Coturnix japonica: one gene and its partner. The protein of the gene in region 1 binds, or shares a complex with, the protein of each later gene. Links are inferred from orthologs where the notes say so. Each region holds a gene or a part of one and is shown in the gene's direction. Other genes may lie near its edges.

The links.
Region 2: RRS1 (region 1) and RPF2 share a complex: the UniProt entries of both Homo sapiens proteins name them as parts of the hexameric 5S RNP precursor complex. The link is inferred for Coturnix japonica from reciprocal best matches to the Homo sapiens genes RRS1 and RPF2.

Annotation. Positions count from the first base shown.
Region 1 is NC_029517.1:104,229,729-104,234,409, forward strand, and holds RRS1 (ribosome biogenesis regulatory protein homolog), read left to right. Parts: upstream 1-2,090; 5' UTR 2,091-2,157; coding exon 2,158-3,228; 3' UTR 3,229-3,369; downstream 3,370-4,681. Other genes in the region: ADHFE1 (hydroxyacid-oxoacid transhydrogenase, mitochondrial), read left to right, coding at 4,302-4,357, 4,512-4,549. UniProt on the Homo sapiens protein: Involved in ribosomal large subunit assembly. May regulate the localization of the 5S RNP/5S ribonucleoprotein particle to the nucleolus.
Region 2 is NC_029518.1:60,330,217-60,335,335, reverse strand, and holds the end of RPF2 (ribosome production factor 2 homolog), read left to right. Parts: exon of another isoform or gene 1-745; intron 746-1,743; coding exon 1,744-1,846; intron 1,847-2,832; coding exon 2,833-2,977; intron 2,978-3,130; coding exon 3,131-3,310; 3' UTR 3,311-3,813; downstream 3,814-5,119. UniProt on the Homo sapiens protein: Involved in ribosomal large subunit assembly. May regulate the localization of the 5S RNP/5S ribonucleoprotein particle to the nucleolus.

The DNA of each region.
Region 1 (4,681 bases):
ATTAATAGCAAAAAAAAAAAACCAATCCAAACTGAATCAAAATAGATTTTCTGTTTATTACTAATTGCGACTGTCCAACCACATGCATAAGTGCACAGGAACAATTCCTTGCTTCCAGCAATGAAATATACAGCAAAGGGAGGGGGGAAAAAAGAAAAACAAAAAGGCATTAAAAAACTCACCTTTGAACTCAGTTTTAGGCCAAGTGTACTGAGTGCCGAGTTTCCTGGCAAGGATCCCCATTGCAGCAAACAAACAGACCTGTTTACTGATTTGCAAGCACCCATATAGCAAATTACAGTTCCTGGAATACATAAGAAAGCTGGAATGCAACTCTAAAACAACAGTTCCCAGAAATTGAATTGCTACATTATGGGCTTTTTTTTCTTCTTTTTCTTTTCTTAGCAAGTTCAGGCTATCAGATGAAACAACAAGTCCTGGTATGTGCTCCTACTGCTGTTCTAGTGACACACAGTAATCATAAACTCTCAAGGTAACTTTGGAAGTGTAAGAAATACTAGCGATTGCATCCTTCCACTCCTAGTCATTTATATGAACGCTTTGGGGCTTTGAACAAATATTAACCAAAAGAACTCAGAGTTCACTGCATAAGAACAAAACTCAGGAGAGCACAAGGATCAGCAGGTAGGTATTGACCAGACTGCCATTCAAAAGTACAGACGTATGCTTGAATCTCATCTAATAGTGCACATACATCCCTTCAAAGACGCATCTTTAAAGTTAATTTCATCTGTAATTCTAGGTGAAAAAATAACGAGGTCCAAGAAAGAGCATAGCCTCCAGTGCAATGCCATCTTGTGGTAAAAGGAGAAAAGGTATGCGTCATCTGCTCCAATTCTTCCATAGTGTACAAAACACACTCAGAATTGTTGACTTGGGAGTGGAAAAAAACGAGACTTTATCACAGTTAGAATTATAAGTACATTCATCTCTATTTACAAGCCTAGCATTTTATTTACTTCCCCAAAACACTGCTCTGCCGTTAGAGTCATTTCCGTCACTGCAGACATTATGTATCCGTAGAGATGTGATTTAGCTTAGTAGAAATGTGTATCTTGTGTAAAAATTCCCATAACTTCCTTGGCCACAACTAGACGCCCCCTTTAGCTTGTTTTGAGGGTACATGAGTCAGCTCGAAATGTCATGGCCATGCAGGCCACATCCCTGTAAAAGGATCCTTCCAGACCTCATTTATTTAAAAATAGCATGGCAATATCTCTGACCCAGACAACCTTTGGGTGCACGGTGTCACCTCACTTTTCACTGTGCTTCATGAGGCACCTGCCAATCCCACTATCCAAATGCTGTTCCCCTTCTTCCTTCACCAACAGCCCTGCCCTCAGGGTCACTGTCAGTCCTAGTGGGGCTGGAATATCACAGAATCACAGAATGACCCGGGTTGGAAGGGACCTCAAGGATCATGTAGTTCCAACCCCCCTGCCTGGCAGGGCCACCAAACATACACATTTACTAGATCAGGTTGCCCAGGGCCCCGTCCAACCTGGTCTTGAACACCTCCAAGGACGGGGCATCCACAACCTCCCTGGGCACCTGGGGAGGACTATATGGGACTTGAATTTTGGTTCTGCGGCTAGAACTTTTAGACATGGCTGTGCCGCAGTGCTGCGGGCACCTGAATGTTATGGAAATTTATGCTGTGAAAGAAATGTATCTATATTATTTACAAATCTGTGAGTCTTAAACCTGCTTGATGTTTGCGTGCTATCACACACACCACCCACAGTGGCTGGCAGAGCTGTGAGGCCGTTTGCTCACCCTGGATGCTGCACATTCAGTCACAGCCCTGGCCTTCCGTGATACCACGGGGCAGCAACACCTGACTTTCACAGACCCTCACTCCAGCCCTGTCCCATGCTGGGGCTAAATGCAATGCCTGCTTGGCAACCACCACACAGCGGGGCGAAGGACTGTGGCAACCACCACACAGCGGGCTGAGGGACTGTGGAAGCCGCTGTGCCCGGCATGGTGTACTACATCTCCCATGGGGCGCTGAGGCCCGTATCTGTGCAGCCTACATTTCCCGTCATTCCGGGCTCTGTACGCAGTTCCGTCGCACTGACCCGTATTGCTGCGCCGCGCTTCCTGCGCTCGGGCGGCCACACGCGGTCCGCCACCATGGCGGCCGTGCGAGTGGAGGAGGTGCTGGCGGCGGCGGCGGCCCAGGAGCAGCAGCAGGCGCGGAGCGTGCAGGTGGAGAAGGAGCTGGAGCTGGAGTTCGACCTGGGCAACCTGCTGGCGCTGGACCCCAACCCGCCTCCCGCCGCGGCGCTACGCGGGGCCGGGCCGCAGCGGGAGTCGCGGCTGCGGGCGCTGGCCCGGGACAACGCGCAGCTGTTGGCGGCGCGGCTGTGGGAGCTGCCGGCCGAGCGGGCGGACGGGGCGGCGGGGCCGCTGGTGGCGCGGCTGCCCGAGCCCGCGTTCCGCCTGCCCCGGGAGAAGCCGCCGCCTCGCCCGCGGCCCCCCACGCGCTGGGAGCAGTTCGCCCGGCTGAAGGGCATCCGGCGCCGCAAGCGGACCTCGCTGGTGTGGGACGAGGAGGCCAAGGAGTGGCGGCGGCGCTGGGGGTACCGGCGGGCGGGCGGCGACCCGGCCCGCGCCTGGTTGGCGGAGGTGCCGGCGGGCGCAGACCCGAACGAGGACCAGTTCGCCAAGCTGCGGCACGCCAAGAGGGAGCGGGTGGCCCGCAACGAGCTCAACCGGCTGCGGAACCTGGCCCGAGCGCACCGCCCCGCCGCCGCCGCCCCGCTGCACCCTACGGGCCACCAGAGCCGGCAGGAGCTGGGCCTGGTATCGCGCGTGGCCCGCGTCTCCACCGCCTCGCTCGGCCGCTTCCAGCCGCGGCTGCCCAAGGAGCCGGCGGAGCCGCCCTCCCGCGACGGCGGCAAGAAACGGCGCTTCCAGCCGCTGCTGGGAGACCTGGCGGCCGAGCGCGGGCGGCAGCTGGAGCTGCTGCGGGGCATGAACAGCAAGAAGCCGGCACTGGACATCACCCGCGCCGTCAACAAGCAGCTCCGCGAGGAGGATGCCGAGGCGGCCGCCGCCAAGGGCAAGAAGCGGGGACAGCGTGGAAAGCGGGGCCGCCGGCAGCAGCGGCCCGGGAAGAGGAGCGGAGGCGGCAAGAAGGGCGGCGCGGCCCGACGGCAGCAGCAGCCAGCGGGGGGCGGTGGCAGGAGGAAGAAGGCGTGAGGGACTGTCTGCATGCAGGCTGCAAAGGGAACAGCGCCGTGGGCACTGAGGGACTGTATGCGAGGGGTGCAAAGGGACTGCTCCACATCCACCGCTGTGCAGCCCGCACCTCTGTCAATAAACACATTTTGGTGTTTGAAATGTCTTGTGCACGGCTCCTGTGGGAGGGCTTGGGGGTGGCTGGGCAGCAGCTCCTGTGTTCTGCAATGGGGAGGTCCTTGAGGAGTGGTCCTTGAGAGCAGCTCAGCAGAGAAGGACCTGGGGGTCCTGATGGACGAAAGACTTAACATGAGCCAGCAGTGCGCTCTGGCGGCCCGGAAAGCAAATGGGATCCTGGGCTCCATCAGGAGAGGGGTGGTCAGCAGGGATAGGGAGGTGATCGTCCCTCTCTACTCTGCTCTTGTGAGGCCCCATCTGGAGTACTGTGTCCAGGTGTGGAGCCCTCAGTACAAAAAAGATATGGAGATTTTGGAAAGGGTCCAGAGGAGGGCCACGAAGGTGATCAGGGGGCTGGAGCACCTCCCCTATGAGGACAGGCTGAGAAAGTTGGGTTTGTTCAGCCTGGAGAAGAGAAGGTTGTGGGGTGACCTCATTGCAGCCTTTCAATACCTGAAGGGAACTTACTCCCAGGAAGGGAGTAAACTCTTTGAAAGGGCTGACACGGGGAAATGGTTTTAAGTTAAAAGAGGGAAGATTTAGGTTGGATGCTGGGGGGAAGTTCTTCACAAGGAGAGTGGTTAGGCCCTGGAACAGGCTGCCCAGGGAGGTTGTGGATGCCCCGTCCTTGGAGGTGTTCAAGGCCAGGTTGGACGGGGCCCTGGGCAACCCGATCTAGTAAATGTGTATGTTTGGTGGCCCTGCCAGGCAGGGGGGTTGGAACTACATGATCCTTGAGGTCCCTTCCAACCCGGCTCATTCTGTGATTCTGTGAGGTGCTGAAGCAGGTCCAGAGAAGGACAACGAGGCTTGTGAAGAGCTGAGCGGTAGCGCTGCAGCCAAGTCCCCCGGCGTCCCGCCCCGCGGCTCCTGAGGGGTGTTCCCGGCCGTGCCGTCCCAGCGGGCCGTGCAGCGCCATGGCGGCCGGGCGGGAGCGGGCCGTGCGCCTCCTCAGGCAGCTGCAGCGGGCGGCGTGAGTGCGGGCGGGACGGGTGGTTGAATGCCTGCAGGAGGTTCTGAGGGATTCCTTCGGGTGTTCTGCCTTAGTTTTACCTTTAAAACGGCACTTCAGTACTTGTGTTGTGTTCTTTGTGTGTTCTTTGTGTTTTTTCTTTCCTGCTATCCAGATGTCGGTGCCCGACTCACAGCCACACTTATTCCCAAGGTATGGTTTAAATCGCGTGTGTGAAATAATTCTGCATTGAGACTGTGGCCATTGTGTACACGTACTGCCTGGGTAGAGGGTGCATGTAACAGATAGAAAAGAGAGCAGAGAAAGCATAAGGTGAGCAGTCGC
Region 2 (5,119 bases), on another chromosome or scaffold:
CTAGATGATCTTTTAGGTCCTTTCCAACCTTGTGGTTCTATGATTCTATGAATGTTAATCATAGCTTCAGAGGTTACAGTATTGTCACCTTCTGGATATGAACTGATACAGGAAGAAATGTATAGGCTAATAGAATTCCTTAATTTTCTGGACTACCTGAAAATTGGAAGGGTTTGTGGAGCTCTCTGCAGGAAAAAGTAAATTAAGAAGCTCTGGAAATGTGTTGAGGGAGGAAAAGGTAGGAATGGAAAGAGAGGAGAAAGCAAGTCTTTAGTCCAACCAAAGCAAGAGATGTAAATTAAGAAACATTAAAAATGTCTGTTCTTTGGGTGTACTGAAGTGTAAGGTTTCTGCAGCTGTTGAACACTGCCAGGAAACAGAAATTCCTGACCACCTGCATTTGTTTGGAACAGATCGTCCTGTGGGTAAAAGGATCTGATGCCACAGGAAGACACAAAGAGAAGTGTTGCCAGTAAAAGCGCTGTAAATGTTCACTTGTGAACCCACAGAGAGCGAGTCAAAGGGAAAAATATGTGCAAAATTGGACTAAGGATTTTATTTGCAACTTCTTGTTAGTAGCTATAAATTCAACCCAGGAGGGAGGAGTGAGAGTATTTAACTGACCAAGGAAATTGCTGGCTAGACTCCAGCTGATACATGCCAGCAAGACTTTGTTTTGGATGTCATTCTGATGCTGATACCTCTTGAAAAAGGTAGTGGAGGAAAAGACAACCAGCTGAGAAACCTGAAACGGGACAGAACGAAAGAGACTGATGTGTTTTGCATCTGTTAGTGGTTCTCCTGTCTTTCAGCATTGCCCTGCCGTGTTTATTAGCACACCTTGTTCCCTCAGTCAAGGTCACATTCTTTTTTCCACCCCCTGCATCTGTTGGGCAGATTGCTGTGCTTATTTCAGGCACTGGTTGCACAGTATTTTTCATAGTCTCATGTGAAAAGCTGTCTGGGGATGGTTTATTTGGTATTTAACCTGTCTTTCGGCGTTCTGTTTGCAAACTAAGCAAGTATTTCTGGTGTTTATTTTCTATAGGTGTGTTTTGCTTATTAAATAGAGAAAGTATTAATTGTAATGACAAATCTCTCTTACTCAAAGAACTTAAGTGCTTTATTGTGGGGGAGGCACGAAGGAATTTACATACCAAAACCTTTCTTGCCCAAGTCACTGGGAGGGGAAGGTAGATAAGATTAAACAAAATAGTTCTGTTCTGTTTTGTACAAGTCTTTATCGCTTCTTTATGCTCTTCCAAGTCTGACTCTGATTAAGAGTCTTGAGTGCTGTCTTAAAAAGGCATCTGAATAAATGGCTTCTCTGTACTAATCTGCTTAGCTGAATGTGAACTGGCCTAAACATAAAACAGTGTGTGTTTAAAGACCTTGTAGCTAAAAAATGTAGAGGAATAGACTGTTTTGCTATCCCAGTCAGATTGCTAAAACAGAATTACTGCTCTGAAAGGGTATTTGTTCTTGTCCATGCACTTGGGCTTAGGTCCCATATATGAATATTGCTTCTGAATTAACTCTGGGAAGTGTTCCTCTCAGGATTCCTACATGCACTTGGTTGTGCAAAGACCCTTTTTGATGCCAGAAGAGAATCTCTACAGAGACAAGGAGTTTATATTGCTTCCATCATATGGCTCCATTATGATGTGAGCCATTTGTTACAGTCATTTCCTGGCTTTGTTTTCAGTCAAGGAATCAGACACTTACTTTTAAATATCTTTTCAGATTTCTTCAGAGGTCCCACTGTGTCCAACATTCGTCTGGCTGGGTTAGAACATGTTCTGCATTTCACAGCTGTCGATGGCAAAATTTACATGAGGAGCTACAAGTGAGTGTGTATTTTATCCATGTTTGGTTTTCTGGTAGACTTGTCAAGCTCTCCCAAATTTTAGCCTGTAATTCTGTAATTAAACTGCCTGGAGCAGTAGCGAACTGCATTTAAAACATATGGTATGTAGAGGTGTTCTGCTGTAACTCAGAGTAACTTGTGTGGCAGAAGGAAAGCACTTAAGACCTAAAGGTGTTCATTCCTTCTTTGTTCATTCCTCTTCCTTCTAGCTAGGAGGACTGTTCTCTCATGGTTGGACTGGTAATGTGTTGCAAATTAGACTTGGGGAACTGGTGAATTTGGAGTATCTTTTTAGACTTCACAGACTTAGTCTGATGTCAGGCTGATGTCGTAGGACTCTGTTGAAGAACAGCAGGCAGTACACTGTAGTCAGAGATACAGAAGGGAAAACAGGAATGTGCAGAACAAGATCATCTTCCTGACCTGGCATTTGCTCTCACAGTTCATGGCCTTTCCTCTGTGGGCTGCAAGTGCTGAAAGCCCATGTATTCTGTGCAACTTTGATTTCTCCTGTAACAACAATCTCTTTCTTAAAGAAACAAAAAACAGTACACACACAGCAAAACAGCACCAATAGAAAAGGCAGACTTTTTGCCTAGGGCTCAGAGTGTTTTGCTGTAAACTGCAGTATATGTACTTTCCCTGTTTGTTAATACACAGGGCACTGTTTTGAATTTCTGGAATGGTGTGGCTTTTTAGGGTAGTGTAATTGAATGTTAAGAGTTGTAATGAGAGTTCTAATCCCATTTAAAATACAAAAGCTAAAGAGATCATATTTTCAGTGTGTTCATGTTGTGATGGAAATTAATTATAAATTTATTGACAACTTTCTCAATAATAGAATTAGCAGTAGCAGTTTGTTTTTAATAATCTTCCCAATTGCAAGATTGAAACTGCCCTTTAGGAAGGCAGATAAATATTTGTCCCAAAGGACAATGTTGGTTGCTTTTGTTCTTTCCTTCTAGGGTGCTTCTGAAGAAATCTGGCTGTAAAATACCAAGAATTGAACTGGAAGATATCGGACCTTCGTTAGATTTGGTTATGAGGAGAACACATTTAGCTTCAGATGACCTTTATAAGTTATCTTTAAAACAACCCAAAGCCCTAAAGGTAAATCCCTTGGGATCATATGCATGTGTGGTTTTAGGCACTTGATTTGGTGGTTTATTGGTGATGATGGTACAGGCAGACACGCCTGGCTTCTCACCACAGCTACAAGCACACTCTGTACTCAGAAGTACTAATGCCGTTCTTCCCTTACAGCCTAAGAAGAAAAAGAACATCTCCCATGATGTGTTTGGTACAACTTATGGTCGGATCCACATGCAGAAACAAGATCTTAGTAAACTGCAGACAAGAAAAATGAAGGGGTTAAAAAAGAGACCAGCAGAGAAGTCAGCTGAAGATGGTGGTGTTAGTCCTAAAAAGACAAAATCTGGGTGATGGCCTGGAACAACTTGGAAAGCTATTTGTATCTTAATGTTTTTAAATGTAAATTATAATATAAAAGTGGCAAACATAAAGGATTTGGCTGCCTTTATGTTTAGTTTTATATTAAAAAATCTCACAAAAATTTATGATTTGTCATTCTGAAGGGAGCCTTGAGTTATTGAGCTCTAGCTTAGAGCCTGCTTATTTAGAAGGGGAGGGGGGAAACCACAAGATGTAACATGTTTAGTTTTCCAAAGCTGAATATTTATTCTCTTGATATGAGCAAACATGTGCTAGTTAAGCAGGTGACTCATTTCCCGAACAGTTTTATGGTTACAATGTTGGGAAACCTTGATCAGTCAACCTATCTTATGAACTCCTTGCAGGACCAGCATAGTGTGTACACATAATATGTGCAACATGACTTCTGCGTTCATTTACTGCTGATGTGTTTCAGTTTATGCACAACTGCAATACTTTAATAAACTCCAAACCATTTTCTAAAGTATGAACTCGTGACACGTGTCTAATGCCAGATTACTTGCACCAAGCCCTCCTTACCATTTGCAGAATGAGAAGTGATTAAGGTGTTTTCGCGGTGTTCATCACCATGGTAGCAAAGTACCTGATGTTTGCTTTAGGCATAAATGAAACCTTTACAGTTGGAATTTTGATCTTTGATGCTTGATTTGTGCCCAGAATGGAAGGAGCAAAGGTAAGTTAGTATTTTTGCTGATCTTAAGGATCTCTACCGTGTTTTATTTTGTGGTATGTGAAGCAGCCGTGAAAGGTACGAGTCTTCCCTTATCTCTGCTTGAGAGCTGCTTCTCTCCATAGTCTATGCTTGTGAGTTGGGGAGGATTCTGTATTATAAATATGTGCACTTTAGGTACACGATGAACACAGCAATGCTGCGAGTTTGTTCTTTGGTACTTCCTTTTCTATTCAGTTCTCTTAAGAGTTGGGTCAGCTGAAGTGTCACATCAGGAGACAGCTTCTTATTTTTGCCTCTCTCCTACTTCCTGGATGGAAGCCGTTGGGCAGCTTTGCAGTCCTTGTGTAAGAGCTGAGCTGTAAGTCTGGCAGTGCAGTTGCCATGCGGTGTTCTTGCTGCACTTGGTTTGATGAAACTTACAGCATGACAAAGAAAGGGCTTTCAAAGTGTGGGGTCTTTCTGAGGTCATTAGGCTGTTTTTGGTTTTTTATATACAAATTGTTTTCAAGTTATGTTGCTATCGGGGATTGAAATCTGTTCAGTTTCTGGTAAGTACTTTGTATTAGTCAAATAGTCAAAGTGGTGCTGTCTTGGTGCATAGTGGGCAGTGTGGGTTTCTTAGTGTGCAAGGAGATAGTTGCTAGCTTGGTTTCATCCTGAGCTCACCTCATGTCTTATCAGCCTTGCTTCAAAGCAGTGATGAAGCCATGAGATGGGCGGCAAATGTGATCTCTGTTGTACAGCATGTAAGATGGTACCTCTGCGTGGCAGGCAGTGCTGTGGTTTGAGTATCTGGTTTGACTCAAGGTAAGTGGAGATATGAGGGCTAAATATAACAACTTTATAGTTGCATGTTCTTCTTTCTCACAGTCTTTTAAAGCGTGAGGAAACTTGTCAGATGCTGCACTGTAGGTGTGTGCGTGGGGAACAGAACATGCTGTGCTCAAAGGGCAGCTGTCAAAAGGGACCTCACCACAATTGCCCCTTGCGTCTGTAGGTCTGAAAGTACATAAAGGTGGCCTCCAGGGCTCTGTGGTGTGTGCGAGGCACAGCTGGCATGTTCACCTCTCATTTTTTTCATCTCCCTACCTTCCAGTGATGCACTG